Struthio camelus: one gene and its partners. The protein of the gene in region 4 interacts with the protein of the main gene of each other region in a biochemical or structural test. Links are inferred from orthologs where the notes say so. Each region holds a gene or a part of one and is shown on either strand. Other genes may lie near its edges.

Region 1 (7,777 bases), on a different chromosome or scaffold from region 4:
TAGTATTTCTGTACTTTTTTTCCACAGTTTTTTTTTTTTTTTAAATGAAGAATGCCAGTCCTTTTCCTATACATATGTACACAGTCACTTCCTTTCACAGAAACCTCTGCTTTAAAATGCCAACTGTCGTCCTCCAATAAGGCAGTCGTCATACATAAGCTATAAGGAGAAAAAAAAAAAAAAATCCCAAAATGCTGTTAATGCAAAACTCTTACTGCGAGTATCATATCTACTCAGCTAAATTCTGCTTGCCCTCACTTCAGTAGCGTGTGAAATTTCTACACAGCAATGGTTACATTTGCTATCATTTGCAATTTACAGCATGGAGAATGTTAGAAAAATAAATTGTGGGGAGGAGAAATTAACTGAAACTTTATGTCACAAGGTTCTGTCAGTATCAGCAACAGGACAATGTTCAGAGAATCATGCTCTGCGAAATTAATCTCCATTCCCTAAGGTTTTTTAATGTTTTATTCTTACGTTCATTCTATTCATACGTTGGCCCAAATGCCCTACTTCCAACGCTTGACATTGTAACCTTACTTTATGGGGATATTTATACTTGTATGTTATATAGGTAAGAGGTCACCCATATGTAATGAGGGCACCAACAAAAAATACAACTTAAACGTATGAAAGGGCAGAATTTGGCCCTTCCTATGAAAAGGTGCAAATAGCTACTTACTTCATCTTCTGTGAATTCAGATTCCGATTCACTGCTCTCCTCGTCCTCGCTTTCTGGCAACAGTCGCAGGTCAGCTGTGGTCAACTCCTTCAGCTGTTCCTGTATGCTGGAGTTCTCTCTTCCCCACGTGAGCTGATACGGGGAATAGCCCTGGTAGGTCACTTTATTCACATCTGCCCCATGTTTCACCAGAAGTGACACCAGGTCTGAATTCTGCAGGTCTACAGCCAAGTGTAGTGCAGTTCTGCCATTGCATGGCTCCTGTATGAAAATAACCCAAGATGTTTCGTGTTAGGAGAGCCAGGCTTGCCCATGTCAGAACTGCTGATTCGTATGACCACACAACCCTGTTCAGCTAAATTCATAGATAAATTACATACCTGAGCATTTACATCTGCTCCTAAGGACAGCAAATATTCAACAACAGCCAGATACCCTTGAATAGATGCCAAATGGAGACATGTGTGTCCTGTAAAATGCAAAGTAAGACAAAATTTGAGTAATTCTTATCTAATGTGTTATCTTTCACTTAAAGTCAGGAGGACAGAATAATTGCAATTTATCCAGGGCAAAAAGGTGTTTTCCAAGAAAGTCTTCCAACTTCCAATACGTATGGGCAACAGGGAAAGATTTTTGGAAAGATTTCTGGAAAGACTTCTTAGAGGCCTTATCTTTATTTCAGTGTTTGACTCCAAATTATTGTAACAAAAAATAGAAACACTCAAAATAAAATATTCAGAGTTAATTAAATTTTGCAAAAGTAGTCATTAATAACACAGAGCTTAAAGTTATGGCAGCCAATGATCATCAGTAAGGAGGCCTATAAGCGAACCAAGGAAATCGGACCCTGCTATGTACTTTGGCTTCCTCAACCTTTTCCACCCTTCCAGAGGTCTTTGAGATCTACAGGACAAGAACCCTGTCCTCAATACAGCATACTGGCATTTTGGTGCAGCAGGCTGTGCGTACCATTGTAGTTGGTTGCCTGTAGGACAGGGAGGAGGTGGTGCTGCTGGCAGTACTGCGTGAGGACGCTGACGCTTCTGAGGGAGCCCTGCTCACAGGCAATATGGAGCGGTGTGTTTCCTCGGAAGTCTCTAATTTCTGGGTCACATCCGGCCTTCAGAAGATTCTCAGCAATTTCAGGTTGATCAGTGATAACAGCCAGGTGAAGCGGAGTCTGCAGACAAAAGGGAAACCGCAGGGTGGTAAGTGACACTACAAACATGGCACACAGCAGCAGCAGCAGCGTCTGCACAAGCAGACCCTCCATCAGTTGGTGATTTCTGCCCAATTAAAACCAAACCCCCTAAACACAGGGTATTGCTATGCTTCCTGATATATCGCACAGTTGCTTTCTTGTCTGGAAGCGATGAACTCTGAGCTCTCCAGATATCAAACAGTCATATGAAGGGTATCACCAACGTGACAATGAAGAGGGCTGTGACCCACTGCATCACATTTAAAAAACGCAGGCATTAAATGCCAGTGCTGGTGAGAGGAAGCGTCACACTAACACTGACTGGAGTCGGCTGGGTGCCTTTCTGAGCGCAGGCTTTGATTTCATATCCATGAAAAAAAATAAAGAGCCTTTTCAGCGGGGCGGTGGTGGCAGGCGCAGACCAGTACCTGGCTGAGGTTGTTCTGGAAGTTGAGGAAGGCCGGGTCGCCGGCCGTCTGCCGGATCACCTCCAGGCTCAGGGCTTTCTCTACGTGAATAATCGCCAAGTGGAGGAAGCTGCAGGAAGGAAACCACCCCAAAAAGAGAAGAATGAGAACCCCCCCGCGCAGGAGCAGCGGTGACGAGCGGGCCGCGCCGCCCGCCCGCCCGTCATGTGCCGCGTGGCGAAACCGGGGGCTTTTGGGCGGCCGGGGCTTTCCGCGGCGCCGCCGGGAGCCGCCTTGTTCCTGGCGCCTCTCCAGGGACTTTCCGCGGCCCCGGCCCTGCCCCGGCGCGGCGCCTCCCGGCCCGCCCGGCGCCTCCCGGCCGGGCCCCCCCCTCCCGCCGCCGCCGCCGCCCCCCAGCGACTTACGTGTCTCCGTCCTCGGTGAGCTGCTGGGCCCAGGCGTGCGGCGGCGGGTCGCCCTGCGGCCAGGCCGGGGCCTCGCGGGGCTGGAGCCGGATGTCCTGCAGCTCCTTCACCAGCTGGCAGTACTCCTCGTCCTTCATGGAGTCCAGCCCGCTGTCGTGGCGGTCGTCCTGCAGCGGCCCCGCCGGGCGCTCCTTCCGCAGCGCCTCGCGGCCCTCCATGGCCGCCAGCTCGGCGGGGCGGGGGGCGCTGATCATGGCGGCGGCGGGGCGGCGGGAGGAGGGCGGGCGGGCGGGCGGGGGGCGCCTCCGCGCCGCGGCTCCGAGGGCGGCGGTTGGTGCCGGCGCTGCAGCGGCGGCGGCTGCTGCTGCTGCTGCTGCTATTACTACTACTACTACTGCTATTGCTGCTGGCGGCGGCGGCTGCTGCTGCTGCTATTACTACTACTATTGCTGCTGCTGCTGCTGCTGCTGGCGGCAGCGCGACGGGCGGGCGGGCCTCTACGAGTGAGCGGCGGCGGCGGCGGCGCGCCGCATATACACCGGGCGGAGGGGATTTCTGCGGGGGAGGAGCCGCCGCGGCCGGGAATTTCCAGCCACTCAAAGGGCCGACGGACGAGTCTGGTCCTGCTGGGCGCCGCGGGCGGGTGGGCCGGGCCGGGCCGGCGAGGGGAGGGGAGGGGAGGGGGCCGGGCTGAGGCGGCGCGGAGGAATTCCCTGCGCCCGCCCGGCCTCTACTGCAGCGGGAACTTGGCGTTTTTCCACGGCCGGGGAAGTACTGGGCCGCCTGGGTGACTAACCCCGCTCCTGCGGTGCTTCCCTGCTGCGCCTCGGGTGACTGCCCCGGCCAGAGCTGCCCTGGGGCTTTCCCTGCCCTCCCCGCCGGGCCCTGGGGCGGCACCGGCGCGGCCTGGGGTCCGGGAGAGGGCAGCGCGGTGCTGGCCGCCCGTCCTAAAACGTGACGGTGTCGTGATGGCGCTAACTTCTTGGCGCAGCAGTTGTTGGGGAGGTTGAGATAGTGCTGCGCGCCACCGCGTCTTAGAGCCCGGCCGTGCCGGCGGGCGGGCTGGTGTCGCGTAGCTTGTGCTGCCTCGCATGCGGCGTGTAAAGGCTTCCGCACCTTGCAGCTGGTGGTAAGTATCCGCTTAGCTTCCGCGCAACAGGATCAGGAATAACAGAGCTGTGCTCCGTGCCTGTACATCCAGTTCTCGTCAAACAGGCTTCTTTCAAAAGACACGTACCAGTAAATGAACGCACCTTTTAAAGGAAGAAATAGCATCTCCTGGCATTATTCCCCCTGCACCCATTTCTAACTACTCTTCTTTGATCGTCTCTACTGATGTCACACCAGCCACGGGTAATGAAAACGCTGGGTAAACGCAGGCTCCCACATGGATAAAAGACCTTGTCTGCTGGACTGGCAGTGGTGATTTTTTCCCTGGTGAATTTTGCTGCTGCTTCTCAGATGTGGGGGATTCCCATTAAGAATTTTTCATCCCTTGCAACTATTGCCGGCCTCACTGACTAATATTGTCTGAGATTTTTTCTTTTGCAGTTTTCCCATGGGATGGTATCCCTTTGAAAAAAAATTGGTGAGAAAATCCAAAGATGAAAGGGGGCGCCAGAGGAGAACGGCTGGCTTGCTGTGAGCAGATGTTCCCAAGCTGCAGCCCAGCTGTACCCTTCCTGGACTTTTGTTCATTATTCACCATTAGGCCTGGGATAATCCACTGGTGGTTTTGGGGCAGGTTTAGAAAAGCTATACAGCTCTTTCTTTTATAGGTTAAGGGTTATGAAAGTGTCATGACTTTCTGGAAAAAGTTTCCCCTTCTTAATGTAAATCGGCAAGGGAAATTTACTTAACAAATGACTCTCCGACCTGCTTCTGTGCAAAAAGTGAAGACTGGGGTTTGAAAGCAAGTGCCTTCTATCTACTATCTAACGATCGGGGACTAAAGTGCAGCGAGAATGAAGCTGCCTTCAGTCAGAGTTTTGCTGGAGCCACATAGAAATTAAATTTGAAAACTCCCCCTCCTCACTGAGGTGGCTGGAGCCCGAGTTCAGCCGAACAAGCCCCTCGGCGCCTCCTTCCATTGCTGACCTCCAGCTGCTGTCACAGGCGGACTCGGGGCTATTTTTGGAGAGCGTTTGCCAGCAGAAACCTCTTTTTGGGGGCACGCGTGTTTCGATGCTCTTATCTCTGTGTACCTCTGCACGCAGTGCTACGTCAGCCAGCTGGAGGGGACAGAAAGGAGATGGAAAATGACTTCTCTGTGGAAAGTCGTGCCAAGATTAGCCTGCCTCCTGCCCCCAAAAACAGCACTGGCTGCAGCCAGGCGCAGGTCCCGCTCTGCTGCCCGGCCCCGCTGCGGCTGCTGGGCCGTCCCCGGTGCAGCAGCCGTGCAGACTGGTTTTCTTCATACTGAGAAAAATGACATCCTCGGTGGTACAAGTAGCTTTCAGTGCACCCAGACGTGGGCCAGCACCCCAGGGTGTTAGGCAGCCTTCAAGCGCGGGTCAAAAAACAACTCCAGCCCATGTGGACAGTAACAGACAACCTGTGGGTGCAAGGGCAGAGGGAATGCATGTTAAAAAAAAAAAAAGTTATCTTTTCTGTGACTTCTCACAGCTAACAATGTTGTTTTACACTATTTGCGGAACGGGATGGAATGAGCTGGTGGAAGGCAATACAAAAGAAAGGTTTTGAAACTGTGAAGAGGGCCACGGACACTGCTTTTATGCTGCTGAAATACCTGTCCTTTTTTTTGCAAATTAACACATTCTGAATTATTCTATGCAATTTTCTACACAGTCAGCATGAGTGAATAAAAATACAAATAAAAATACAAGGAAGGAACAAACTCAGCTTTTGGATACACATTTTTTCCCCTTTTGGTCATGTACCGTCTGTCTCAAATCTGCTTTCATATGCAGCCTGTTGCCTGGTGTTACTTGGGGGGGCTGCCAGGGGATGGGGCCAGGCGTTCGTCCCGGGGACAGAGGGCAGCGCATGAAACCCCAGGATCAAATTTAGCCCTCCTGAAACGGAGCAAAACTTTATGAACACTGCGGTCGTTTTTGTCAAACTGGAGGCCTGATGGTCCTCTTGTTTATTCTGGCCTGATACTCCGCTGTGAATGTATAAATTTTGCAGCAGCGCTTCTTATGCTCATCAGCTTGAGAGGAGACTGAGGTTCTCTGCATTTTTTATGTGAGACTGTGTTAGTGGTCTCCACACCGGCATGACCAAAGGAGCGGTTTCATCTTGTTCAGAAAAGGACGTCTGCAGGGGTGTCTTGGACGTCTTGCAGGGTCCAAACTGGTGTGGTTCTTTGTTACACGGGCACCGTAGTACGGAGGGCATTGCAAGACCAAGTGGCTGCCTAAACAGCTCTTTGACAAGGTAAAAGGCTGCAACCACGCAAAGTGATTTTGCGCCTGATACCTAAAGCCTGGATTTTGCAAAAGTCTCCTCCGCTCTGGGTGTCTTGACCGCTCCATTTGCAGTGCTGTTGGGCTGCAGGAACGACGTGTTTGTTTTTATTCTGACTTGCAGCACGCAGCTGGCAGGGTTTTGAAAAGCAGCCTTGCGTGCCTGAATACTGAAAAGGGGCAGTAGGATTTTAATCAGTTTTTAAAGTACAGGAAAGATTCTCGTGCTGCTTTCTCAAGCAAACACATTAAGCTGTAATTTCCTGATTGCCACACTAATCATGAGAGCTGTCTAGTGCTGTTGCTGTGGTGCTGTTGATTACCAGCGTTGGTTCCTCAACTTCGTCCTTCTCTGATGGCTGCTGCAGATACCTATTAACTATTTCCTCCCATTTAATCTCGAGGACGATGCAAGTTTAGCAGTAAACATAACAGGAAAAGTAGTTCACAACATTCAGCAGGACCTTGGCCCAGGCTGCTGAAACCATAAGCAAAGCAAAAGAGTTGTGTAAAAGTGCATTTCTTCTGCTCTCAGTCTGGCAATCTGGATGCATACATGTGGTGTAGCTACCTCTTACCTGACCCGTATGCTCTTTGGAACAGGGCTCCGTTTCACTGCTCCAAAAAATTAAGGACCTTGCTAGGGCAACGGAAGCCAGAGAACACCTCACATTGTCATTCAGATAACATTTTGCAACTAAAATTGGCACATTTCAGCCTCCCATCTAGAGCTGCTACAGAGATGAGAACTGGGCAGCTGTCAGATTCAAACAATTTGCTGGACTCTAGTGTTAAACAGCGAGAACAGGAAAATATCCTCCTGCTTTCTAATAATAATTTGGCTGTTACTAACTTGAAGCAATAAAAAAAAATGGCCAAATGAGGTCATGGAAATCTTAACCAAAGTTCATTTTTGTCAGCCTAGATGGGAGCTTCTGGGTTTTACACACGCTGTGGCCTCTGCACCTATCTCGTCACGCATTTTGATCAGAGGTGGCCATGTGACAGGTGCTTCAAATAGTATGTTAGTCACAGTATTTCTCTGGCTTATTCAGGCTGACATAATATCCAAGCAAACAGTGCTGGAGGGACCTTTTGGCATATAAAGCTAAGGTCCAGATTACGGGATTTAAAATCCTATGTATATTCCACAGATACAGAAACGGAGTTAACGCGGGTGTCCTGGCCAGAGCCTGGTGAGGTTTGTTGCATTACTTCTACCCAGATTTGCAGCTACTACTATGGTCTCCTTTGTTTTTATTTTTAGACTGAAGCTTATTTCTGGCATCTCTTAAATTCATGTGTTGTGTCCCAGGGAAGATCTGCATTTCTCTGAGTGAACTGTGGGCTGTTTATATATAAATTTGTTGCATTTCTGGAGATCCTTAGGGATGAGATGTATCATATAAATTTAAACTGCTTTTATTGTTATGCCTTAAGAGTAAACATAGCTCAGTTCATTTGAAAATGGCTGCTGCTTGGAAGACAAGTTTTCTCTAGTGTCATTCCTATTTCTCACATGGAAGTTTTGTTAAAGCATGCAATATGCAATGCTTATTCCTTAAGCTGATGCTTGTTTCTTGATGCAGCAAAGCTTGCTAGCGTTCGTGTTTCACATAGGAAAGAAGAGG
Region 2 (7,521 bases), on a different chromosome or scaffold from region 4:
GCAAAAGGTTTCACTTTGGGAACAGACAGTGTTTTCTAATGGCTTTTCCCTTTGCTTCCAAAAAGGCTGTGATGCACTGTAAGGATTCTTTGGTCTTTCTTCAACAAAATAATTCCTTTAAAACTGTTACGCTCCCAAACAAAGCTGGTACCATCACTAGTGGACTATCTTCCTTTTCTATCGGGTGCACGAAAAGCTCTTCAAACATAACTGATATCCTTAACTGCACCTTTCATATAGAGCTATTGATATGCTAATAAAGGCAGGAAGAAAATATGGGGGGGCAGGTGTTAAGTGCAAGTTTGATATTTCAGAAGGTAAAACTGAAGAGGATAAAAATATGTCTGTGTCCTCCTGATCTTTTTTTTTTTTTTTTGTAAAGCAAGAGCTAAGTTTCATTCTGAGCTGGTCTTCAGTGAAAATTTTCCAGCATTAGTCTTAGCAGAGCCAAAGTACAGTTCACCCTTCTCAATGCTACATTTTGAGGTAAGCATAGTTTAAATACGTGCCTGTGGTAACAGTAACTGCTCTTGAACAGAAATGCATCATCCTCCAGTTTTAGCAGAGCACTAAACATCTGTGAGAGCGTTATTTTGTCCTTTTTTAATTTATCAAATACTTGGGTGTTTAGAATTAGTCTGATCACTGGGAAAGATGAATTATCTCTTGGTAATTCAGATGTAAATTCGGAACTCCTTGATTGTCTAAAGTAGGCATGGCCAGGGAACGCAGACAGGTAAAAGACGGCAGCTAGGAAAGAAATGAATCTATGCTTAGCTACCTTTGTCTCCAACATGAATGCAAACACCTCCTCTGAGGAGGTTACGCTCTGTCATTACAATCTAGGTTTTACCAAGGGTCTGGGTGACAGGAATAAGGACACTGATGTCAAACAATATTTGAAACAAGCTGAAAAAACAGGCCAGAAAACATGAGCCATTTGAGACTGCTGTACATGCAAGGATACGCTCGCATCCTTCCCCTTGTTCTAGGGGAGACGGCACCCATTTGTGGCCATCATTTTACTTTCCTCTTCAGCAGCCACAGGAAAAAAAAATAAGGTATTAGAAAAGTGCAATAATGCTATATATATATATATATATATATATATATGTATGTATGTATGTGCGTAAGCTCAGGCTCTGTTCTTTTCAAACCCCCCTCCCTGCCCTGCAAGAGCACAGAGAACAGTTCATTAAGGTTTATAATATAAAGCTGCAGATAAATTCAAATTTTCACAGGTTAATCAAAGAAAATTGAGTACTGCACTTCAGCAGTGCTCTACAGTAGTAGCTATGTGTATCTGCTTTCCCCACCGGTTTCACCAGCCCCAGCTTTTCCTCTTTCTACTATGGGAAAACAGCAAGGGGCTATAAGTAGCAAAGCAAGCAACTTTTGGGGGACTTTCACTGTTTTGTTACTTTCGCTGTTCACCTGTTGCTTTAGTTTTGAACAGTGAATGGGAGTTTTCCTAGCTCAAAACTTTCCTGCACCTATCGTGCTACAACGCTAGCTGAAAACACTCTTCTGCTCCACTTGAATTTTAATAAGCACTTGCCCCATCCACAGCTGAGTTTTGTGCTTTACATTTCCCTGAACAAACTCACAAAGGTGACCTGACAATATCTTTGCCATTTTACAGCACGTTTCAGTTAACAATGTTTGAAAACTTATATTCAGCAGCAGGACAGCTTCTGAAGCCACCTAATGCAGTTTCATTTGCCTTTCATCCCACTTGCTTAGCACTGTTATTTCCAGTGAGCAGCTAGCCAACAGAGCCTTCCTGGCCAAACTATGAAATAAAAGTCTGTGGTGTCTACAAAGGTGAATTCTTCAGTTTGGGATTTTGCTCTTTGTTTACTGCACAGCAGCTGTGAAAAACTACTTATGCAGCAACTGGTTCTTTCAAGCTCAGAACACCTTCACTTCTCACGTTCACTCTGAAACGCCCGATACTAAGCACAGCCTCAAGAACCTCTTGGAGCAACAGCTCCTCACAGAGGAAGTGACTATGCTTGGCAAACCATAGCACGCAAGCAGTACGCTCGCTCCCTTCAGACAGGCACAGAGATGGTTCAGCCATCAGCCAGGGCTCCAGGTCACTTAGAAACACCAACAGTGAACATCTGTGACAGCATCCCCCTTTCTTCCGCTCTGTATACATATGCGAACCATATTATGATCCTCACGTTTCTATCCCCCGTCATGACTTTCCCTCATCCAATAAAACCCTATATACACATACATTGTCCCTCCTGCTCCAAGAAAACACACGTGCTCCAAATCTCTTGCCTTCATACCCCCACTACGACAGAAAGTGAGCAAGGGGAGGAGTTTGCTAATGGACTCAGTAGGCACATCCAGCAGTCAAACTGATCTGCGCAGGACACGCAAAGTAACCGTGACCGTAAGCACAGAGCGCCACGGAGGGGCAAAAAGGCCAACAGCCTGGGGCAAGAACGAGCACTGCAGCCCAGCCTGCTTCACCGGCTCCAGGGCCAGGGCGGAAAAGGATGCTGGATGATGCAGACGCCTTAAAAAGGCCCGGCGCCAGCCCTGCCGCCCGGGAACAGGGCTTCTGAGCGGGCCAAGGGCCAGGGCAGACCCAGAGAGACAGCAGCAGGAATGAGAGAAACCCCAGGGAACGAGACAAAACCGGGCCTAAGCTTACGATGCAACACAGCAACCACCTCAGCTTCCGCCTCCCAGAGCGGAGGCGACCGAGGCCCGCCGGGCGGCCGCTCCCCGGCGGCCAGGCCCCGCCGCCGGCGGGCACCGTGGCGGAGGCCAAGGCGGCTGCGGCCGAGCCTGCGCGAGGGAGCCGGAGCGGCGGGGCGGCCCCACGGCTAAGGGGGCGCGGCGGGGCGGCTCGCTGACCTGCGGGGCGGCCTCTTGCGCGGCGGCGGCGGCGGGGCCGGGGGCGGCGCGGCACGGCGGGCGGCGGCGAGGAGGGCGCCCAGGGCCCCCAGCAGCCATTGGTACATAGGCCCGGCCGCCGCGGCGGAAGTGCGCGCATCCCGCGCGACCGGCCCGCCGCTCCCCCCCTCCCCCCCTCATTGGCTGTGGCGGCGCGCGGCCTCCCGCCCCCGCGGGAAGCAGAGGCGGAAGCGGGGCGCCTGCGCGCCGGGCGGGGGCGGGGCGCACAGCGCATGCGCGCCGCTCGGCGGCCGGCGGCGTGAGGCGCCTCGTGGAGGCGGGGGGGGGTGGGGGGCGGTCTGCCGTCCCGTGGCCTGGCCCCTCCGCCTAGGGCGGGGAGGGGAGGGGAGGGGGGGGAGGAAGAGGAGGAATGAAGAAGGAGCAGCAGCAGCTGATCCGCTGGCAGAAGCTTTATTCGACGCCTTCAGAGCTTTCCTGTCTTTCGGTGCAGCCCGGGCAGGCGCTGGGGTGCTCCTGGGCCTGGTGCACAGGCCTCTGCGTGGAGCAGAGGGCAGAGCTGCGTGCCGAGGCCTGCTGGGCTCCAGGGGTTTTACAGCCCCCGGTGCCCGGAGAAGGGAGGCAGCAGCCTGGAGCTGCTGGGCCCTTCCTGGTCCTTGGTGTCCCTTGTCCCACGTGGAAGGGGAAGAGAGGCTGCTCCTGCTGTGTGGGAGAAGCGTGCGCCATCCCAAAAGACTGGAAGAGGTCTTTGGCCTGAGTAACACTGCGGCGTTATCACTAGAAGGACAATGGTGAGGGAGATCAAGCAACTCGAAGAGCACGTTGGAGCCAGTATCTGCCCTTTTCCCTGGCAGTCTCCAAGCAGGTGTTTTGGAGATCCAGATCCTGGCCTTGCAAAGTCCTGCCCTGCTTCAGCAACAGAGCTCTTGAGCCCATTCTCTCTGCTGCTCCCTTTGCTTTTGCCTTGCCGTGTGATTTGCTCGGCGTCTAAGATTTCTGGAGTGGGCACACTGAAGTTTCTCTGGTAGATTACTCTCTTGATAGGTTTGGCTTGCTGTTAGAGCAATACCTTGTTCTGCATTGCTGTTAACAGAGTTCTTGGTACTTGCTGATCACTTGGTCTAGCAGACAGTCACAAGAGAGGAGGCTTGACAAATATTGTCTATTATCTTTGTGGTAGAAATCACTGGTTTTGGACCAATTATTTGGATAGTACAAAGGGGGTTCATTGACCCTCTTGACATGGTTGCATGAGAGGTGGGGAGGGCTGGGAAGACTTCTTGCCTGGACGATTACTCAAAATCTCACAGCAGTTTAGTTTCAGGTTAATACATGACTTACCTAATATGACTGCCCGCTCCTTGGATTATTCAGTTTCTCCACAGTTTCATCAAAGAGACCGACTGTTCAAAAACAGGGGTCATGCCCATCCATCGTTAAGGAAAGTTGAGGTGCTGTTGCTTGACCTTTAGAGTGGTCAGCTACTTGGTGTGCTCGCATGCTCTGCTATTGCGGAGATGCCAATGTCTACTTTATGGGTTCCTCTGGGGGGAAAAAAGGCACCTTAAAAGTGAATATTTTCATGGCTTCAAAAATCAGCTGAGAATGAAGAGATCTCATTTTTAGTTGGGCCTTTTGGCTTTTTCTTTCTTTCTATTTTTTTTTTAACCCAAAGCATGGGTGGGGGTGGGGGTGTGCTGCCTGTGTAACTTTATCAATTACATCTTTTCCAAAATGGCCACTCATTGTTCAGAGGTCAGATGACTGCAGGAACTCAAAGGTGCACTGATGGCTACACTGGAGACTGAGACGATCCACTGTGCTGGCAGCAGGGGATGCTGCAGGCATTGCTGTAGCCACCTCCTGGAGAGACTTTCCACATCAGAACTGAAAACAATAAAGTGTAAGAAAACTAAACTGCCTTAAGGAAGCTGCAGAATAAAGCCTTAGTGAGCTGGGAGGACTAATGTGCTTGGAACAGGGAAGGCGCTTTCACAGGATGCACTTGTTGCAAGAGGACCCGCTAGCTGTTCATGCCTACAGGGAGTATAAATGACGGTGGTACAAAGAGCCTTGTTATATTAAAATGACCTTGCTCATTATACTAGGAACTTAATTACCGCTCCATTTACGGTTTAGGGCACTGGCCAAGGAAGGGAATGACTGAGACTTGGACACAAAGCTTCAATTTGAGAGATGGGTCAGCACCCAGTGGCGCAGGGACTAAGGCAGCATGTGGGAAGGCTTTAAATGAGGTGCAGCAAGGCCTGCAAAGGTCTGGAGAAGCAGTCCAGCAGAGGGCACAGCAGCACCATGCAGGGCCTGCAGTGAGCCTGTGGCTTGGAAATACTTCTTCCAGTCAGTTATTCCATCTTTCATTTCTGCCCGGCCTGTATGTTTTAGGTGAATCCTGCAGCAGAGAGATGGAGTGGGTGCAGGGAAATTTATTTAAATCCCTGCCTAAGGAAAGGCATGAGGTTTAGCTCTGCAAAGTCAAGACTTACCTGCGACACTGCTGTTTCAGTGCACAGTGAAGTGTGCAGATAGAAAGCAAGAGCACTGAACTCACTAGACAACATAATGCAATCCAGTAATCATGGAAAAGAGGAAGGCTGGACTCTTGGGAAAGGGGTCTTCCCTGAACCCAAGGCAGGCTTGTCATACATAAGGCTCACTCAGTTGTCCTGCACTTCTTGCTTCCCTGTCTGCAGGTGATGCGCTGGCAGCACAGACAGCGCAGTGGCTTCTCTCCGGCTCTGCCCGATGCCAAGCGCAGGCGTCCAGCTGGCTGATGTGCAGTCCTGGCACAGGGAAATGGCAGCAGAGCAGCTGGGGAGCACATGCATTGGAGCAGGGTTCATGCGTGCAGGAGTTGCTCTGGCAGGCGTGGTCACCCCAGCTGCAGTCTCCCCCATCATGTGGTCTAACCCATTGCAGGAGAAGTCTTAAGGTTCAGAAAAAAAAAAAAAAAAAGAGAACTCTCGTCAGGAAATCTGTTTGCTATTTTAAACAAGCTTCCCTTATTTTAAACAAACTTCTGATAACACCACTTCCTTATCCTCACAAGAATAGTGCGAGGATAATTATTTTAATGCTTCACAAAAGGTCCGTATTTATGTCTGTGAGCGTGCTTGAAAAGTAACTGTCAGTAAAAACAGGGTTAATGCAACTGCAAGGCTCCATTTTGAAATCCATATAAGCCTGTACAACCCAAAGGATTTGTCCTAGACACATGAGGAGAGTTAACATGGAGTTACATGATCATGATAAAGTGATGCCACTTGAATAATTAATTTTGGAAATAGATGAATGGTAATTTTAGGTATCTGAAAGCATAGCTATAATATACTTATCATTAAAATCTCTTTATTGTACATGAGTTTAAGATGATGTCAAGGTGGCATAGTACCTAGATAGATAGATAGCCCTAGGCATTGTGCCCTACAAAGCAACCAATGTGTGCTGCGCTAGCCTAGTACAGCGCTGGTCATCTCGTCAATCTAGCTGTCAGTGCTCATGCTTTCAGTTACTTCATACAAATATTGGTTCCCAGTTGCAAAGAGGAGGAGTTTAAATTGTGGGTTTGGAGCACAGCGCTCCCAAACCAGCAGTACGAGTCTCAGCAGCATACATTTGCTGATGCTTTCACATTCAGTTACTAATCTTCAGAATTCTTTGCCTTGGGTATAATCCCACTAAATATGATTCAATTTGTCAACATAGCTACCTTATGACTAGTATGTGTTTGGCTGGTCAGCCCATTTTATACAATCACACTCTATCAAGTGGGATATCGTGTGACAGCAGAAGTGGTTGGAAAAAATATTTTTCATCCTAGATAACTCTGAGGCTGAAACTTGCCTGCTGTTTTCCACTGTCCCAATTCAGCAAGATTACACTTTATAACACAGTGCCTGTAGTTAAAGTGCATTTATAATACTGTTTCACATTGGTTATATTTTTTGTTCCCTGTAATTTACATAGCTGAAGGTTAAGTTCACAGCTTAATTCTTTATTATCCCTTTTGGTTTCTTGGTCCGTATGTACATAAATGTAAGCACATCTCTGTTCAGCAACCCATTTGAGCACGTGTTTACATTTTGCTGTAGCCAGTGGGACATACTTCATTCAAGTGCCCGTGTCTTCAGTGTGTCTGGCTGGGTAATCTTACGTGCATGTGAACATGAAACGTGACAGCACATTGTGGGAGTAGAGATGACCTTTCTTTGAGGACCTCTCAGCTTGTCTGTGCCTTCCCCGTAAAATGGCTGCTGTCCCCTCGATAAGCAGTCCAGAAGGCAGACTCCATTTTACACTCGCGTGTCATTCTGGGCAGAGTACAGAGAACCCATTACTGAATAAAAAACCTATTTTTAAAGCACCACATTCTGTTTCTCAAGCTCTAAAATTGTAGGGCATTGACTGACCTCCTACCTCAGCTAAGAAGGGCAAATTTGCATTCATGCCTGTCTTCTCATCTGCCCACTAACATCTCCAAGACATTCTTCCTTGCCCACGGGCTGTCATCATGTCACTTTTCGATCAGCTGAGAAGGTCCACCACAGCGTTCTCCACCCCTGTGTGGACTGAGGAGGACTCTGGAAGCAGGGCAGGGAGGTCCCTCAGCTGGCTAACAACACACTTCCT
Region 3 (7,670 bases), about 100 kb from region 4:
GGGATCCTGAGGGGGATCAGTGGGATCTGGGGGATCCCGGGGGGAATGAGGGGACTGGGGGGGGTTACAGGGGATCCTGAGGGGGATCAGTGGGATCTGGGGGATCCCGGGGGGAATGAGGGGACTGGGGGGGGTTACAGGGGATCCTGAGGGGGATCAGTGGGATCTGGGGGATCCCGGGGGGAATGAGGGGACTGGGGGGGGTTACAGGGGATCCTGAGGGGGATCAGTGGGATCTGGGGGATCCCGGGGGGAATGAGGGGACTGGGGGGGGTTACAGGGGATCCTGAGGGGGATCAGTGGGATCTGGGGGATCCCGGGGGGAATGAGGGGACTGGGGGGGTTATGGGGGATCCCGAGGGGGATCCCGAGGGGGATCTGGGGGATCCTGAGGGGATCAGGGGGACCTGGAGGGTTATGGGGGATCCCGAGGGGGATCTGGGGATCCCGGGGCACTCACAGGCGGCCAGGAGGTCGTGCGCGCGGCGCAGGTCGAGCTCACGGAGCAGGGCCAGCAGCTCGCCCAGGCGCCCGTTGCGGTGGCTCCAGCCCCACACGACGCTGTGGGTCGGGCTGGAGGTCGCGGCCGCCAGGCGCAGCTCCACCTGGTCCCGCACCACCCGCGAGGCTGGCGGAGGCGGTCAGCGCCCGCCGAGGCCCAGGCCGCCCCGACCCGTCCCGGCGGGTCCCAGTCCGCCCCAGTCCGTCCCAGTCAGGTCCCAGTCCACACCAGTCCAGTCCTTGTCTGCCCCAACCCCTCCCGGCGGGTCCCAGTCAGCCCCAGTCCGTCCCAGTCAGGTCCCAGTCCAGTCCCTGTCCGCTCCGACCCGTCCCAGTGGGTCCCAGTCCACCCCAGTCCATCCCAGTCAGGTCCTAGTCCATCCCAGTCCATCCCAGTCCCTCCCAGTCCGGTCCCTGTCTGCCCTGACCCATCCCAGTCAGGTCCCAGTCCACCCCAGTCCATCCCAGTCCGGTCTCAGTCCACCCCAGTCCAGTCCCTGTCTGCCCCGACCTGTCCCGGTCAGGTCCCAGTCCACCCCAGTCCAGTCCCTGTCCGCTCCGACCCGTCCCGGTGGGTCCCAGTCCACCCCAGTCAGGTCCTAGTCCATCCCAGTCCATCCCAGTCCCTCCCAGTCTGGTCCCTGTCTGCCCTGACCCATCCCAGTCAGGTCATAGTCCACCCCAGTCCAGTCCCTGTCTGCCCCGACCTGTCCCGGCGCATCCCAGTCAGCCCCAGTCCGTCCCAGTCCGGTCCCAGTCCGGTCCCAGTCCGTCCCAGTCCCTCCCAGTCCAGTCCCTGTCTGCCCTGACCCATCCCAGTCAGGTCCCAGTCCACCCCAGTCCAGTCCCTGTCCGCCCCGACCTGTCCCGGCGCATTCCAGTCCACCCCAGTCCATCCCAGTCAGGTCCCAGTCCATCCCAGTCCGTCCCAGTCCGGTCCCTGTCCACCCTGACCCGTCCCGGTCAGGTCCTAGTCCGTCCCAGTCCAGTCCCTGTCCGCCCCAACTCGTCCCGGGCTGTCCCAGTCCGTCCCAGTCAAGTCCCAGTCCATCCTAGTTAGGTCCCAGTCCACCTGTCAGGTCTCTGTCCGTCCCAGTCCATCCTAGTCAGGTCCCAGTCCATCCCAGACAGGTCCCAGTCCATCCCAGTCCACCCCAGTTCAGTCCCTGTCCACCCCGACCCATCCTGGTCAGGTCCCAGTCCGTCCCAGTCATGTCCTAGTCCACCTCAGTCAGGTCCCTGTCCACCCCGATCCATCCTGGTCTGCCCCAGTCCATCCCTGTCTATCCCAGTCCAGTCCCAGCGTATCCCGATCCATCCCTGTCTGTCCCAGTCCAGTCCCAGTGTGTCCCAGTCCATCCCTGTCTGTCCCAGTCCAGTCCCAGCGTATCCCGATCCATCCCTGTCTATCCCAGTCCAGTCCCAGTGTGTCCCAGTCCATCCCTGTCTGTCCCAGTCCAGTCCCAGTGTGTCCCAGTCCATCCCTATCCCAGTCCAGTCCCAGCGTATCCCGATCCATCCCTGTCTGTCCCAGTCCAGTCCCAGTGTGTCCCAGTCCATCCCTGTCTATCCCAGTCCAGTCCCAGTGTATCCCGATCCATCCCTGTCTGTCCCAGTCCAGTCCCAGTGTGTCCCAGTCCATCCCTGTCTATCCCAGTCCAGTCCCAGCATATCCCGATCCATCCCTGTCTGTCCCAGTCCAGTCCCAGTGTGTCCCAGTCCATCCCTGTCTGTCCCAGTCCAGTCCCAGCGTATCCCGATCCATCCCTGTCTATCCCAGTCCAGTCCCAGTGTGTCCCAGTCCATCCCTGTCTGTCCCAGTCCAGTCCCAGTGTGTCCCAGTCCATCCCTATCCCAGTCCAGTCCCAGCGTATCCCGATCCATCCCTGTCTGTCCCAGTCCAGTCCCAGTGTGTCCCAGTCCATCCCTGTCTATCCCAGTCCAGTCCCAGTGTGTCCCAGTCCATCCCTGTCTGTCCCAGTCCAGTCCCAGTGTGTCCCAGTCCATCCCTGTCTATCCCAGTCCAGTCCCAGTGTATCCCGATCCATCCCTGTCTGTCCCAGTCCAGTCCCAGTGTGTCCCAGTCCATCCCTGTCTATTCCAGTCCATCCCAGTCCTATCCCAGTGTATCCCGATCCATCCCAGTCCAGTCCTAGGGTATCCCAGTGTATCCCAGTCCATCTCCATCCCTTCCAGTCCATTCCAGTCCGCTCCCAGTACACCCTAGTCCATCCCAGTCCAGTCCCAATGTACCCTAGTTCATCTCTGTCCGTCCCAGCCCGCCCCAGTCCGCTCTCAGTCCTCCCCAGTGCGCCCAGTTACCGAAGCGCTCCCAGTCCGAGTGGCTCAACGCGTCCATGAGGCGGCAGAAGCTGCACATGAGCCAGGCGGGCAGCTCGTACAGGAAGGGCCCGAGCCCCGGCCCCGGCCCCGGCCCCGGCCCCGGCCCCGGCCCCGGCCCCGGCCCCGGCCCCGGCCCCGGCCCGGCCATGCCCGCCCGCCGGTCCCTCCGCGGGTCACTTCCCCTTTAAGAGCGGCCGCCCTACTGCGCAAGCGCGCGCCGGCCCAGCCGCGCCGCCATCTTTAGCGTGGCGGAAGTGCCGCCTCTTCCCGCAGCGGCCCGGTTACCGGGCGGCGCGGGCGCCACGTTGGGTGTGGCGGAAGACACCCCCCCCCCCACCACGGAAAGGGGTGTAGCGAGGGCGCCATCTTGAGCGAGGCGCCTCGGGGGGAGGATGGTGGGAAAGGGCGGGGCTGGGGCGGGGCGATAGGAGGGCACGCTGAGGAATGGGCGTGGTCTGACCGAAAGGGGCGGGGCTTGTGGGGCTGCTCGGCGGGGCGGGGCAAAGGGGGCGGGGCTCCGAGGTGGGGTGGGAGTCCTGTGCCGTGTGCAGTGATTCACTCACCAGGTCCCTCCCCGCGATGACATCATCCAGGCGATGACATCACTGAGGTGCCCCACGATGACATCATCAAGGCCATGATGTCACAGCTGCCCAGACACCCAGGTCCCCCCCCCCCCCAGTGATTCCAGATTCACTCCGGACTTGAGGATGGCATGGGGATGGGATGGGGATGGAAGCGGCCGGAAGCGACTCCGGATCAGCTCCAGCACCACCACGCGGATCGACTCCGGATCGGCTCCAGCACCACCACGCGGATCAGCTCCGGATCAGCTCCAGCACCACCATGCGGATCGACTCTGGATCGGCTCCAGCACCACCACGCGGATCAGCTCCGGATCAGCTCCAGCACCACCACGCGGATCGACTCCGGATCGGCTCCAGCACCACCACGTGGATCAGCTCAGGATCGGCTCCGGCACCACCACGCAGATCAGCTCTGGATTGGCTCCGGCACCACCACGCGGATCGACTCCAGATCAGCTCCAGCACCACCATGCGGATCAACTCCGGATCGGCTCCAGCACCACCATGTGGAGTGACTCCGGATCGACTCCAGCACCACCACGCGTATCGACTCCGGATCGACTCCAGCACCACCATGTGGAGCGACTCCGGCACCACCACGTGGATCAGCTCCAGATCAGCTCTGGCACCACCTCGTGGATCGACTCTGGCACCACCACGTGGATCAGCTCCGGATCGGCTCCGGCACCACCACGCGGAGCGACTCCCCGTCAACGCGGCGGGGAGCTGGTGCCAAGCAGAGCAACTTGGGATCAGAGCCTGGGATGAGATCCGGGATGCTGTGACTCCAGCGCAGGAACTGTCGTGATCTGGAGTCGCTCCAGATCCATTCGAGCTGGAAGATCTGCCCAGGATCTCATGCCACTCCGGATCCACCCAAGCCAGATGGACCTACGTGCAACTCGAGCCGTTGCAGATCTCCTGCTGGAGATGGAGGATCTGCCCCGACCTGGCGTCTGCAGACGGATTCGGGATCTTGTGTCACTTGCATGACCCAAGCTGGAGGATCTACCCGAGCTGCTGTCTCCTGAGCAACCTTAGATCACCGGCTGGCGATCTGGATTCACTTCAGATCCACCCAAGGCTGATCAACATCCTTCCAACGTGGCCATGACATGGAGCCACTCTGCATTCGCCAGCGATCCGGAGATGGAAAGCTCTGCCACGCCACAGTGTCTCCAAACCCAACTGTTGGCAATCCGGAGAGGGAAATCTCTGCCCGGCCATGGCATCTCTGGATCCAACCACCAGCAATGGAAATCTTCACCCAGCTGCAGCATCTCCGGATCCATCCACCGGTGATGGAAATCTCCACCTGGCTGTGGTGTCTCTGGATCCATCCACCAGTGATGGAAATCTCCACTCAGCTGTGGCACCTCCAGATCCATCCACCAGTGATGGAAATCTCTACCCAGCCGTGGTGTCTCTGGATCTTTCCACCGGTGATAGAAATCTCCACCCAGCCGTTGTATCTCTGGATCCATCCACCAGTGATGGAAATCTCTACCCAGCCATGGTGTCTCCGGATCCATCCACCGGTGATGGAAATCTCTGCCTGGCCATGGCCTCTCTGGATCCATCCACCGGTGATGGAAACCTCCGCCCAGCTGCGGCGTCCCCGGCGCCGACCGCCGCTGATCCGGCACTGGAAACCTCCGCCCGGCCACGGCGTCTGCGGATGCGCCCGAGCCGCGGGGCCGGCGGGCGCTGCCGCTCGCTCTGGCTCCGGCTCCGGCTCCGGCTCCGCGCGGGCAGCCAGAGCCGCTCGGGGCCCTTCTCCCCCGCGTGCCGGTTAATGAATGACGGCAGACGAGCCTGGCGTTGGGTTTACACAGATTTATAGATCAAATCTAGCACAGGTTACAGTACTTACCAACAAGAGATGCAACTAAAGCGCGGAGAGCATGTTTGCCGAGTACTTTGCTGGGAGCGGGGAGCGGGGGCGCCGCCGCCGCCGCCGCGCGGGGGGAGCGGAGCGGGGGGACGGGGCCCGCGGACGCCGCGAAGCCGCCCAAAAAGAATCGACAGCCGTGGTTTTTCTTGTAAATTTATAAGGCAAACGTCTTCTGTCGTATATATATATAATAAATAGGTACAGGGTTATCTCCGGAGCCTCCGCACACGGACGGTTACATTCGCACCCACTCGCTGCCTCTGCGCTCGGGGCCGGGGGGGCCCGGCCCTGCTCCCCCCCGGCGCGACTTCGGCTCTCTTTTGTGTGTGGTTTTTTTCTTTTCTTTTTTTTTTTTGCTCTTTTCTCTTTTGTTTTTTTAGCAAAAACGGGTCTGCCGGGGGGGGAAGGGGACAGGGCGGGGTGGGGACCGGGGCTCTGGCGGACGGGGCCGCGTCCCCCCCCGGGCCGCGGAGGGGGCCGGGGAGGCCGGGCCCCCCCCCACCTTTATTGCCATGACGAACCGGGGCGGGGGGGGGACACGGAATAACAGGGAACCCCCAAAAGCGGCGAGTTTGGGGGGGGCGAGCGCTAACAGTCCCTGGCGGGGGGAAGACGGGGGGCGCAGGCCCCCCCGGCCCCCGCGGCGGCGTGGAAGAACCTCGCGCCAGTGCTACTTCCCGGGGCGGTGACCCCCCGAAACGGCCCCCCCGCCGCTCCCGGGGGCCGGTAAAGTGCAGGACGGGGGGAGTCCCCCCCGACCCCGGCTCGGCCGAGGAAATGGGGAAAAACTCATGATTCGAATGATTGGGGGGGCGGTGACCCCCCCGCGCATGATTTTGGGCGGCCCCCGAATGGGGGCGGTGTTGGGGGGCGGCACAGGCGCTCCCCGTTGGGCGGAGACCGGATTCCTCCCCCCCCCCCAATCCGGAGTCGCTCCGGATTGGCTCGAGACCGGATCCCGGTGCAATCCGGAGTCACTCCGGATTGGGGTGGGACCAGATCCCAGCCCAGCCCACCGTTACTCCCGGCTGGATCAAGACCGGATCCTGCCCCAATCCAGAGTCACTCCCCACCGGATGGAAACCGGATCCGCCCCTCCAATCCAAAGTCACTCCCAATTGGATCATGGCCAGATCCCGTCTCAACCCAGAGTCATTCTCAGTCGGGCTGAGGCCGGATCCGCCCTGATCCGCAATCCCTACTCCTTGGCCCACGGCCGGATCCTCCTCCCGCTCTCCCCACCTGCTCCGGGGCTGCTGGGGCGCAGACCAGATCCCGACCCAATCCAGAGTTGCTCCTGGCTGGACTGAGGCCAGATCCTGCCTGCAGTGCGGAGTCACTCCCAACTGCACAGAGGCTGGGCCTCCCTGAGCCAGAGCCGCTCCGGATTGGCTCGAGACCGGATCCCGCCCCAATCCGGAGCCGCTCCGGATTGGCTTGAGACCAGATCCCTCCCCAATTCGGAGCCGCTCCGGATTGGCTCGAGACCAGATCCCTCCCCAATTCGGAGCCGCTCCGGATTGGCTCGAGACCAGATCCCTCCCCAATTCGGAGCCACTCCAGATTGGCTCGAGACCGGATCCCGCCCCAATCCGGAGCCGCTCCAGATTGGCTCGAGACCGCATCCCGCCCCAATCCGGAGCCGCTCCAGATTGGCTTGAGACCGCATCCCGCCCCAATCCAGAGCCGCTCCGGATTGGCTCGAGACCGGATCCCGCCCCAGTTGGGAGAACTCCTGACTGGCTCAGGACCAGATCCCGCCTCAATCCAGAGTCTCTCCCAATTGGGTCAAGACCAAATCCCACTCCAATCCAGAGTCGCTCCTGACCGGCTCGAGACTGGATCCCACCCCGATCCGGAGCGACTCAGCCTTCGATCAACACTGGACCTGCCCCCCCCCCCAACTCATTCCTAATTGGCTCGAGACTGGATCCCACTCCATCGAGTCACTCCCAATTGGCTCCGGGCCGGCTCCCGCCCCAATCCCGAGTCGCTCCGGAGCGGGCCGAGACCGGATCCCGCCGCGCGCCGTAGCCAAGCCGGGGAGGGGGGCCGGCGCACGGCGGCGGATGGGCAAAGGCACATCCCGGGGGGCCCCCGGCGCCTCCGTCCACGGCTTGGTTAGTGCAAATGGTTCCCTAGGCTAAAAACGTGGAAAAAAACAACCCCCCAAAAATAAACCTGGAAGAACGAGTAAAGCGCCGAGCCGAGGCCGCGCGCGCGCGCCCCCCCCGCACGAGCGCCCCCCCGCACGAGCGCCCCCCTCGCACGAGCGCCCCGACCGCTGCTGGAGGGGGTCGTCCCCCGGGCAGCGGCGCCACGCGGTCGAGCGTGCGGGGAAGGGG
Region 4 (7,277 bases):
CACCCTGAGGTCCCCAAGAGGACCACGAACCACCCTGGGGTCCTCAAGGAGACCAGAAAGGGGGCCACGAGCCACCCTGAGGTCCCCAAGACGACCACGAACCACCCTGGGGTCCTCAAGGAGACCAGAATGGGACCAGGAGCCACCCTGGTGCCACCCAGAGCTCTGAGCGGACCAGAAAGGGGACCAGGAGCCACCCTGGGGTCCCCAAGGGGACGAAAGGGGGGCTCGGGAGCCGCCGTGGGGACCCCGCGCCCACCTGGGTGCGCTTGTCGTCCCCCAGGCTGGCCTTGATGTGGGTGTCGTACTCCTGGAAGAGGTGGTGGTAGGCGACCTGCAGCTGCACCAGCTTGCGCCTGAGGGCCGGGGCGGGTGAGGAGGGGGCCGGGCGGGCGCCCCCCCCCCGCCTGTCCCCAGCCCCCCCCCCGGCGTCACTCACTTCTCCTCGGTGGCCCCCTGGCGCTCCACCCGCAGGGCGGCCTCCAGGTTCTGCACCTGGAGCCGGAGCTGGTCCAGCTGGAGGCTGTGGGCGGCCGCCGCCTCCTCCAGCGCCCGGCACCGCTCGCCCGCCGCCCGGGCCCTGCCGGCGACAGCGTCACCCCGGGGCCGGGGGGGGGGCCGGCGGGGGGGGGGCCGGGCCGCGCGCCCCCACCTGTGCTCCAGCTCGCCCCGCTCCCGCCGGCTGCTCTCCAGGCGGCTCTGGCTCTCCTGCAGCTCGCCCAGCAGCGAGGTCACCTGCGCCTTCACCGACGCCTTGTCCTGCTGCGGCGGGGGGGCGGAGGGCGGCGTCACCCGGCGCAGCGGCGTCACCCGGCGGGGGCGTCACCCGGCGCGGCGGGGGCGTCACCCGGCGCGGCGGCGTCACCCGGCGCGGCGGCGTCGCGTCACCCGGCGCGGCGGCGGGGCGTCACCTACCTCCAGCTGCCGCCGCAGCGCCTGCAGCTGCAGCTCGGCCTGCCGCGCCGCCTCCTGCGCCCGGCTCTCGGCCCGCGCCCGCGCCTCCCGCGCCGCCTCCAGCGCCTGCCGCAGGGCCGCCTGCCTGCGGGCGGCAGGGCGGGGGCGTCGGGGGGGGCCGCCGCGTGCGTCCCCCCCCCCCGCCCCGTCCCCCCGGCGCCCCACTCACTCGGCCTCGGCCGCCGCCAGGCGCCGCCGCAGCAGCTCCGCCGCGCTCCTGCCGGGGGGAGAGCGGTGAGGAGGGGGCCGGCCGGCGGCGTGCCCCCCCCCCCGGCCCCCCGGCCTCACCCGGCGGCGGCCGCCTCCTGCTGCTCCTCCTGCTCCCGCTGCCCCTCGGGGGGGCCGGGGGGGGGCTCGGCGGGGCGGGCGCGCAGCCGCTCCACCAGGGCCCGGGCCTGCCGGAAGCGGCCCAGCAGGAAGTCGCGCTCGTCCCGCTGCGCCGCCTGCCAGCGGCGGAAGTCGTCGCAGCGCCGCCGCAGCGCCTCGTTGCTGCGCCGCAGCGCCTCTGCGGGGGGGGGACACGGGGGGGGTCAGCGGGGGCCGAGGCCCCCCCAGCACCCCCCAGCGCCGCCCCCAGCGCCCCCCAGTCGCCCCAGCGCCGCCCCAGCGCCCCCCAGTCACCCCAGCGCCGCCCCCCAGTCACCCCAGCGCCGCTGCAGCGCCTCTGCGGGGGGGGGGGACACGGGGGGGGGTCAGCGGGGGCCTCGGCCCCCCAGCGCCGCCCCCAGCGCCCCCCAGTCACCCCAGCGCCGCCCCCAGCGCCCCCCAGTCACCCCAGCGCCGCCCCCAGCGCCTCGTTGCTGCGCCGCAGCGCCTCTGCGGGGGGGGGGACACACGGGGGGGGTCAGCGGGGGCCGAGGCCCCCCCAGCGCCGCCCCCAGCGCCCCCCCGTCGCCCCAGCGCCACCCCCAGCGCCCCCCAGTCACCCCAGCGCCGCCCCCAGCGCCTCGTTGCTGCGCCGCAGCGCCTCTGCGGGGGGGGGACACACGGGGGGGGGTCAGCGGGGGCCGAGGCCCCCCCAGCACCGCCTCCAGCGCCCCCCAGTCACCCCAGCGCCGCCCCCAGCGCCCCCCAGTCACCCCAGCGCCGCCCCCAGCGCCTCGTTGCTGCGCCGCAGCGCCTCTGCGGGGGGGGGACACACGGGGGGGGGTCAGCGGGGGCTCGGCCCCCCCAGCGCCCCCCCAGTCGCCCCAGCGCCTCTGCGGGGGGGGGGGACACACGGGGGGGGGTCAGCGGGGCCTCGGCCCCCCCAGCGCCCCCCAGCGCCGCCGCAGCGCCTCTGCGGGGGGGGGGACGACACACGGGGGGGGTCAGCAGGGGCCTCGGCCCCCCCCAGCGCCCCCCAGTCACCCCAGCGCCGCCGCAGCGCCTCTGCAGGGGGGTACACGGCGGGGGGGTCAGCGGGGGTCTCGGCCCCGCTGACCTGGCACCCCTGGGTGCCAGCCCAGCATCCTAGAGCCTCCCAGTCCAGCCCCCCAGATTCACCCACCAGCGGCTCCCAGTCCCCCCAGTCTAACCCCCCCAGTGCTCCCGAGTCCAGCTCCCCAGTACCTCCCAGTCCCCCCAGTCTAACCCCCCCAGTGCTTCCCCGTTCAGTTCCCCAGTTCCTCCCAGTCTAACCCCCCCAGTGCCTCCCAGTGCCCCCAGACCAGCCCCCCCGCAGCTCCCAGTCCCCCCCGACTCACCTCCCAGTGTCTCCCAGTACCCCTAGTCCAGCCCCCCAGTCTTGCTCCCTAGTACCTCCCAGTCTGCCCAGTTTCACCCCTCAGTACTTCCCAGGGCCCCCAGCGCCGCCGCCCCCGGAGGCCCAGGTCCCCCCTCACCCTTGAGGTCACGGTTCTCGGCCAGGAGGCGCTGGAGCCCCTCGGGGCTGCCCGGCTCCGGCGGGGCCCGGCCCGGCGCCGCCGCCGCCTCCTCCTCCTCCACCGCCGCCGCCGCCGCTCCCGGCTCCGGCCCCGCCGCCGGCCCCGACCCGGGGCCGCCGCCGCCGCCGCCGCCGGGCTGCACCATGTCCGCGGGCCGCCGCCACCGGGCGCCGCTCATCCGCCCGCCTGCCGGCACCGGGCGCCGAGGGGAGAGCGGCGGGGGGCGCCGAGGGCCGCCCGGGCCTGCGAGCGCCGCGCTGCCCGGCCGCCCTTCCGGCCTCTGCCGGAAGCGGAAGTGACGCCGGAAGCGAAAGCGCCGCCGGAAGCGGAAGCGCCGCCGGGAGCGCACCGAAGCACTTCCGCCTCGGTAGGTGTCATGGCGCACGGCGGATGGCGGGGGGGAGGGGGATACGCCGCGGGCCGCCCCCCGACGCCGCCCATTGGCTGCGCCCGCAAGAGCCCGCCGCGTGGGGGCGGTGGAGGGGCCTGCCATTGGCCGGCGGGGCGGGGCGGTGAGCGAGGCCCCGCCTCCGGGCCCTTCCCATTGGTGGCACGGCGGGGTGCGGCGCGGCGATTGGCCGGCGCGGGAGAGGGGGGCCGGTGGGGCGGGGCCGGCGCGGGGAAAATGGGGAGCCGCGCGAGCGTGAGGGGAGCGGCGGCGGCGCGGCCGGAGGGAGCAGGTGGGGGCGGGGCGGGGCGTAATTAGCGGGGCAATTAGGGGTAATTAGGCGGGGGATGGGAGGCGGGGGGCGGGGAGGAGGTAGCAGGTGGGGGTAATTGCGGGGGGGCAGTTGGAAATGGGGGGAAATGAGGAGTGATTGGGGAAAATGGGGGGCAATGAGGGGCAATAGGGGCAGGGGGGAAATTGGGGGGCGATTGGGGAAATGGGGGGCAATAGGGGGAAATGGGGGGCAATAGGGGGAAATGGGGGGCAGATGAGGGAAGTCGGGGGAAATAGGGGGTGATTGGGGAAATAGGGGGCAATGAGGGGAAATAGGGAGCAATTGGGGGCAATGGGGGCAGGTAGGGGAAACTGGGGAGCGATTGGGGGAAATGGGGGGCAATGAGGGAAAACGGGGGCAGGTGGGTTGGGGGCGATTAGGGGAAATGGGGGGTGATAGGGAGCGGGGGTGACAAGGGGGGGTGGCAATGGGGTGAGAAGGGGCAAGGGGGGGTCAGGGGCAATAGCAGGTAGCTGGGCTGGGGGGTAAAAGGGGGTATTTGGGGGCGGCAAGGGGGGGTCTGGGGCAGTTGGGGGGTCTAGGGGGCAGTGGGAGGGGGTGGGGGGTTTACAGGGGCCAGAGGGGGAAGCAGTGGGGGGGCTGGGGCAATAACGGGGGTGTTGGGGGGCAGCCGTGGGGCAATAGCGGGAGGGAAGGGGGCGGGAGGTGGGGCAGGAGGCGGCGACGGCCGGCCCCCCCCCCCCAGCCCCGCCTGGCCGTCGCCCCCAGGGCTCATGGCGGGGCAGGAGCTGAGCCGGTCGGAGGTGTGCGGGATGCTGCGGCAGGAGCTGTGCCGGGACGACACCTTCCTCCAGGGCGACCCCCACGTCTTCGTCATCCTCGGGGCCTCGGTGAGCCGGGGGGCTGGCGGGGGCGGGGGCTTGCTCCCGGCCCGGACGCCTGGGTCCCCTACGTGTGGGGCGTGGTGGTGGGGGGGGAAGAGGAAGAAGATGGAGCATCGCGTCCCGGCCCCGGACGCCTGGGCCCTGGTGGCCTGACTTCTCTGTGGGGGAGGGAAAGGGTGTCGGGACGCCTGGGCCCCGTCGGGAAGGGGGTGCCCGGACGCCTGGGTCCCTGGAGGGAGGGGGGAGGGCACCTGGACCCCTGGGTATCGGGGGGGGGTGGGGGTTTCGCCCGGATGCCTGGGCCCCATTGGGGGGGGCACCTGGACTCTAGGGTACTGGGGGGTGGGTTGTCCGGACGCCTGGGCCCCGTTGGGGGTGGGGGGGGCACCTGGACCCCGGGGTATCGGGGGGGGGGGATGTTGTCCGGACGCCTGGGCCCCATGGGGGGGGCACCTGGACCCCGGGGTATCAGGGTGGGGGATGTTGTCCGGACGCCTGGGCCCCGTTGGGGGTGGGGGGGGCACCTGGACCCCGGGGTATCGGGGGGGGGGGGATGTTGTCCGGACGCCTGGGCCCCATGGGGGGGGCACCTGGACCCCGGGGTATCAGGGTGGGGGATGTTGTCCGGACGCCTGGGCCCCGTTGGGGGTGGGGGGGGCACCTGGACCCCGGGGTATCGGGGGGGGTGAGTTGTCCGGACGCCTGGGCCCTGTTGGGGGTGGGGGGGCACCTGTACCCCGGGGTATCGGGGGGGGTGAGTTGTCCGGACGCCTGGGCCCTGTTGGGGGTGGGGGGGGCACCTGGACCCCGGGGTATCGGGGGGGGTGAGTTGTCCGGACGCCTGGGCCCCGTTGGGGGTGGGGGGGGCACCTGGACCCCGGGGTATCGGGGGGGGTGAGTTGTCCGGACGCCTGGGCCCCGTTGGGGGTGGGGGGGGCACCTGGACCCCGGGGTATCGGGGGGGTGGGGGGTGTTGCCCCGACACCTGGGCCCCATGGGGGGGGCACCTGGACCCCTGGGTTGGGGGGGGGGATGTGAGCAAGGGTGCCCGGACGCCTGGGCCCCCTGAGGGCGGTGGGACGGGACAGGGCTGCCGGGATGCTCGTTTTCCCTATGGCGGGGGGGGGGGGAGGCGGGCCCGGACGCCTGGGTCCCCTGAGGTGAGAGGAGGGGGGGGGTTGCCCAGACGCCTGGGCCCACGGTGGGGGGGGGGGTGAGGATTCCCCCCTGCTATCGGTGTTTGCCGGAGATAAGCGGCTTCCTGCGCTTCCCCGTCAGCCGGCGGCGGCGTGCCGGGGCCGGGCTCCCACGTGGGGCCGGGCCGCCGCGCCCGGACGCCTCGTTACCCAACACCCCTTAATTAAACACCCCCCCTTCCCCCGCTCCGCCTACCCCAGGCGTTGTGTAACCCCGCGGCGGCCGGGGCGGGGACACCGCCGTCCCCGCCGTCCCGTCCCTGCTCCCCCCTGCCCCGCCGCCACCCCTGACTCAGCACATTCCCCGCGCTTCGTTAATCCCCCTCGCTAACGAGAGCGGGGTGGGTGGGGGGGGGGGAAGGCTGGGGCCGGCCATCGCGGGACCGAGTTGTGGCCGGTCTCAGCCCCGCGACTCTTTGTTTCCCCCGCAGGGCGACCTGGCCAAGAAGAAGATCTACCCCACCGTCTGGTAGGGCCCCCCCCCCGCGCCGCCGCCGCCCCCGAGCTCGTGCCCTCGCTGCCCCCGCCGGCGGCCGACGCTGCCCGTCCTCCTCCCGCAGGTGGCTCTTCCGGGACGGGCTGCTGCCGGACGACACCTACGTGGTGGGCTTCGCCCGCACGCCGCTCAGCGTGGCGCAGATCCGCCAGCAGAGCCAGCCCTACCTCAAGGTGCCGCCGCCGCCGCCGCCCCCGCGCCGCCCCCGCTGCGCCGCCGCCGCCCCGCTGACATGCCCCCCACCCCGTTTCCGCAGGCCTCCCCGGAGGACGGCCCCCGCCTCGACGCCTTCTTCGCCCGCAACAGCTACGTGGCGGGGCAGTACGGCGAGGCGGGCGCCTTCGAGCGCCTCGACGCCCACCTGCGGGCCCTGCCCGGCGGCGCCCGCGCCAACCGCCTCTTCTACCTGGCCCTGCCGCCCAGCGTCTACGAGCCCGTCACCCGCCACATCCGCCAGGCCTGCATGGGGCCGGGGTGAGCCGCCGGCGGGACGGGGGCCGGGGGTCCCGGCGGCGCCGCCGCGACCCTAAGCGCCGCGATTTCCTCCCCGCCTCGCTCAGCTGGAACCGGGTGATCGTGGAGAAACCCTTCGGGCGCGACCTGGCCAGCTCCAACGCCCTCTCGGACCACATCAGCGGCCTCTTCCGCGAGGACCAGATCTACCGCATCGACCACTACCTGGGCAAGGAGATGGTGCAGAACCTCATGGTGCTCAGGTGGGGGCCGGGCGCCCCGCGGGGGGGGGAAGGGGGGTCCGGGCGGCCCCCACCCACCCACCCACCCACCCGCCGCCAGGTTCGGGAACCGCATTTTCGGGCCCATCTGGAACCGGGACAACATCGCCTGCGTCGTGCTCACCTTCAAGGAGCCCTTCGGCACCGAGGGCCGCGGCGGCTACTTCGACGACTTCGGCATCATCCGGTGAGCGAGCGGCGGGGGCGGCGGGCGGGGGGGCCGCGGCGGTGCCCCCCCCCCGGCCCCCCTGCCCCAACGGCGCGTCTCGCCGCAGGGACGTGATGCAGAACCACCTGCTGCAGATGCTCTGCCTGGTGGCCATGGAGAAGCCGGCCTCCACCGACCCCGACGACGTGCGGGACGAGAAGGTGCCCCCCCCCCCCCCCGCCCCGCAGCCTCTGGTGGGCTCCCGAGCCGCCCCCCGCCGCCGCCCCCAGGCTCTCGGCGACCCTCCGGGCCTTCAG

Evidence for each region.
Region 1: of the proteins of IKBKG (region 4) and NFKBIA, one has a biochemical effect on the other in vitro, tested with the Homo sapiens proteins (15 studies listed by BioGRID and IntAct). The link is inferred for Struthio camelus from reciprocal best matches to the Homo sapiens genes IKBKG and NFKBIA.
Region 2: the proteins of IKBKG (region 4) and SENP2 form a complex in vitro, tested with the Homo sapiens proteins (2 studies listed by BioGRID and IntAct, with this or other methods). The link is inferred for Struthio camelus from reciprocal best matches to the Homo sapiens genes IKBKG and SENP2.
Region 3: the proteins of IKBKG (region 4) and IRAK1 form a complex in vitro, tested with the Homo sapiens proteins (3 studies listed by BioGRID). The link is inferred for Struthio camelus from reciprocal best matches to the Homo sapiens genes IKBKG and IRAK1.

The regions. Positions count from the first base shown.
Region 1 is NC_090946.1:55,426,190-55,433,966, forward strand, and holds the start of NFKBIA (NF-kappa-B inhibitor alpha), read right to left. Parts: upstream 3,009-7,777; 5' UTR 2,973-3,008; coding exon 2,719-2,972; intron 2,424-2,718; coding exon 2,315-2,423; intron 1,866-2,314; coding exon 1,655-1,865; intron 1,155-1,654; coding exon 1,066-1,154; intron 947-1,065; coding exon 686-946; intron 160-685; coding exon 112-159; 3' UTR 1-111. UniProt on the Homo sapiens protein: Inhibits the activity of dimeric NF-kappa-B/REL complexes by trapping REL (RELA/p65 and NFKB1/p50) dimers in the cytoplasm by masking their nuclear localization signals.
Region 2 is NC_090950.1:3,002,171-3,009,691, reverse strand, and holds the start of SENP2 (sentrin-specific protease 2), read right to left. Parts: upstream 3,003-7,521; 5' UTR 2,985-3,002; coding exon 2,878-2,984; intron 1-2,877. UniProt on the Homo sapiens protein: Protease that catalyzes two essential functions in the SUMO pathway.
Region 3 is NC_090979.1:146,513-154,182, forward strand, and holds the start of IRAK1 (interleukin-1 receptor-associated kinase 1), read right to left. Parts: upstream 3,003-7,670; 5' UTR 2,993-3,002; coding exon 2,824-2,992; intron 629-2,823; coding exon 461-628; intron 1-460.
Region 4 is NC_090979.1:45,531-52,807, forward strand, and holds the start of IKBKG (NF-kappa-B essential modulator), read right to left. Parts: upstream 3,013-7,277; 5' UTR 2,998-3,012; coding exon 2,778-2,997; intron 1,460-2,777; coding exon 1,243-1,459; intron 1,172-1,242; coding exon 1,124-1,171; intron 1,040-1,123; coding exon 916-1,039; intron 763-915; coding exon 653-762; intron 581-652; coding exon 440-580; intron 357-439; coding exon 260-356; intron 1-259. Other genes in the region: G6PD (glucose-6-phosphate 1-dehydrogenase), read left to right, coding at 3,445-3,499, 4,271-4,392, 6,014-6,051, 6,143-6,251, 6,335-6,552, 6,639-6,794, 6,874-6,999, 7,088-7,181. UniProt on the Homo sapiens protein: Regulatory subunit of the IKK core complex which phosphorylates inhibitors of NF-kappa-B thus leading to the dissociation of the inhibitor/NF-kappa-B complex and ultimately the degradation of the inhibitor.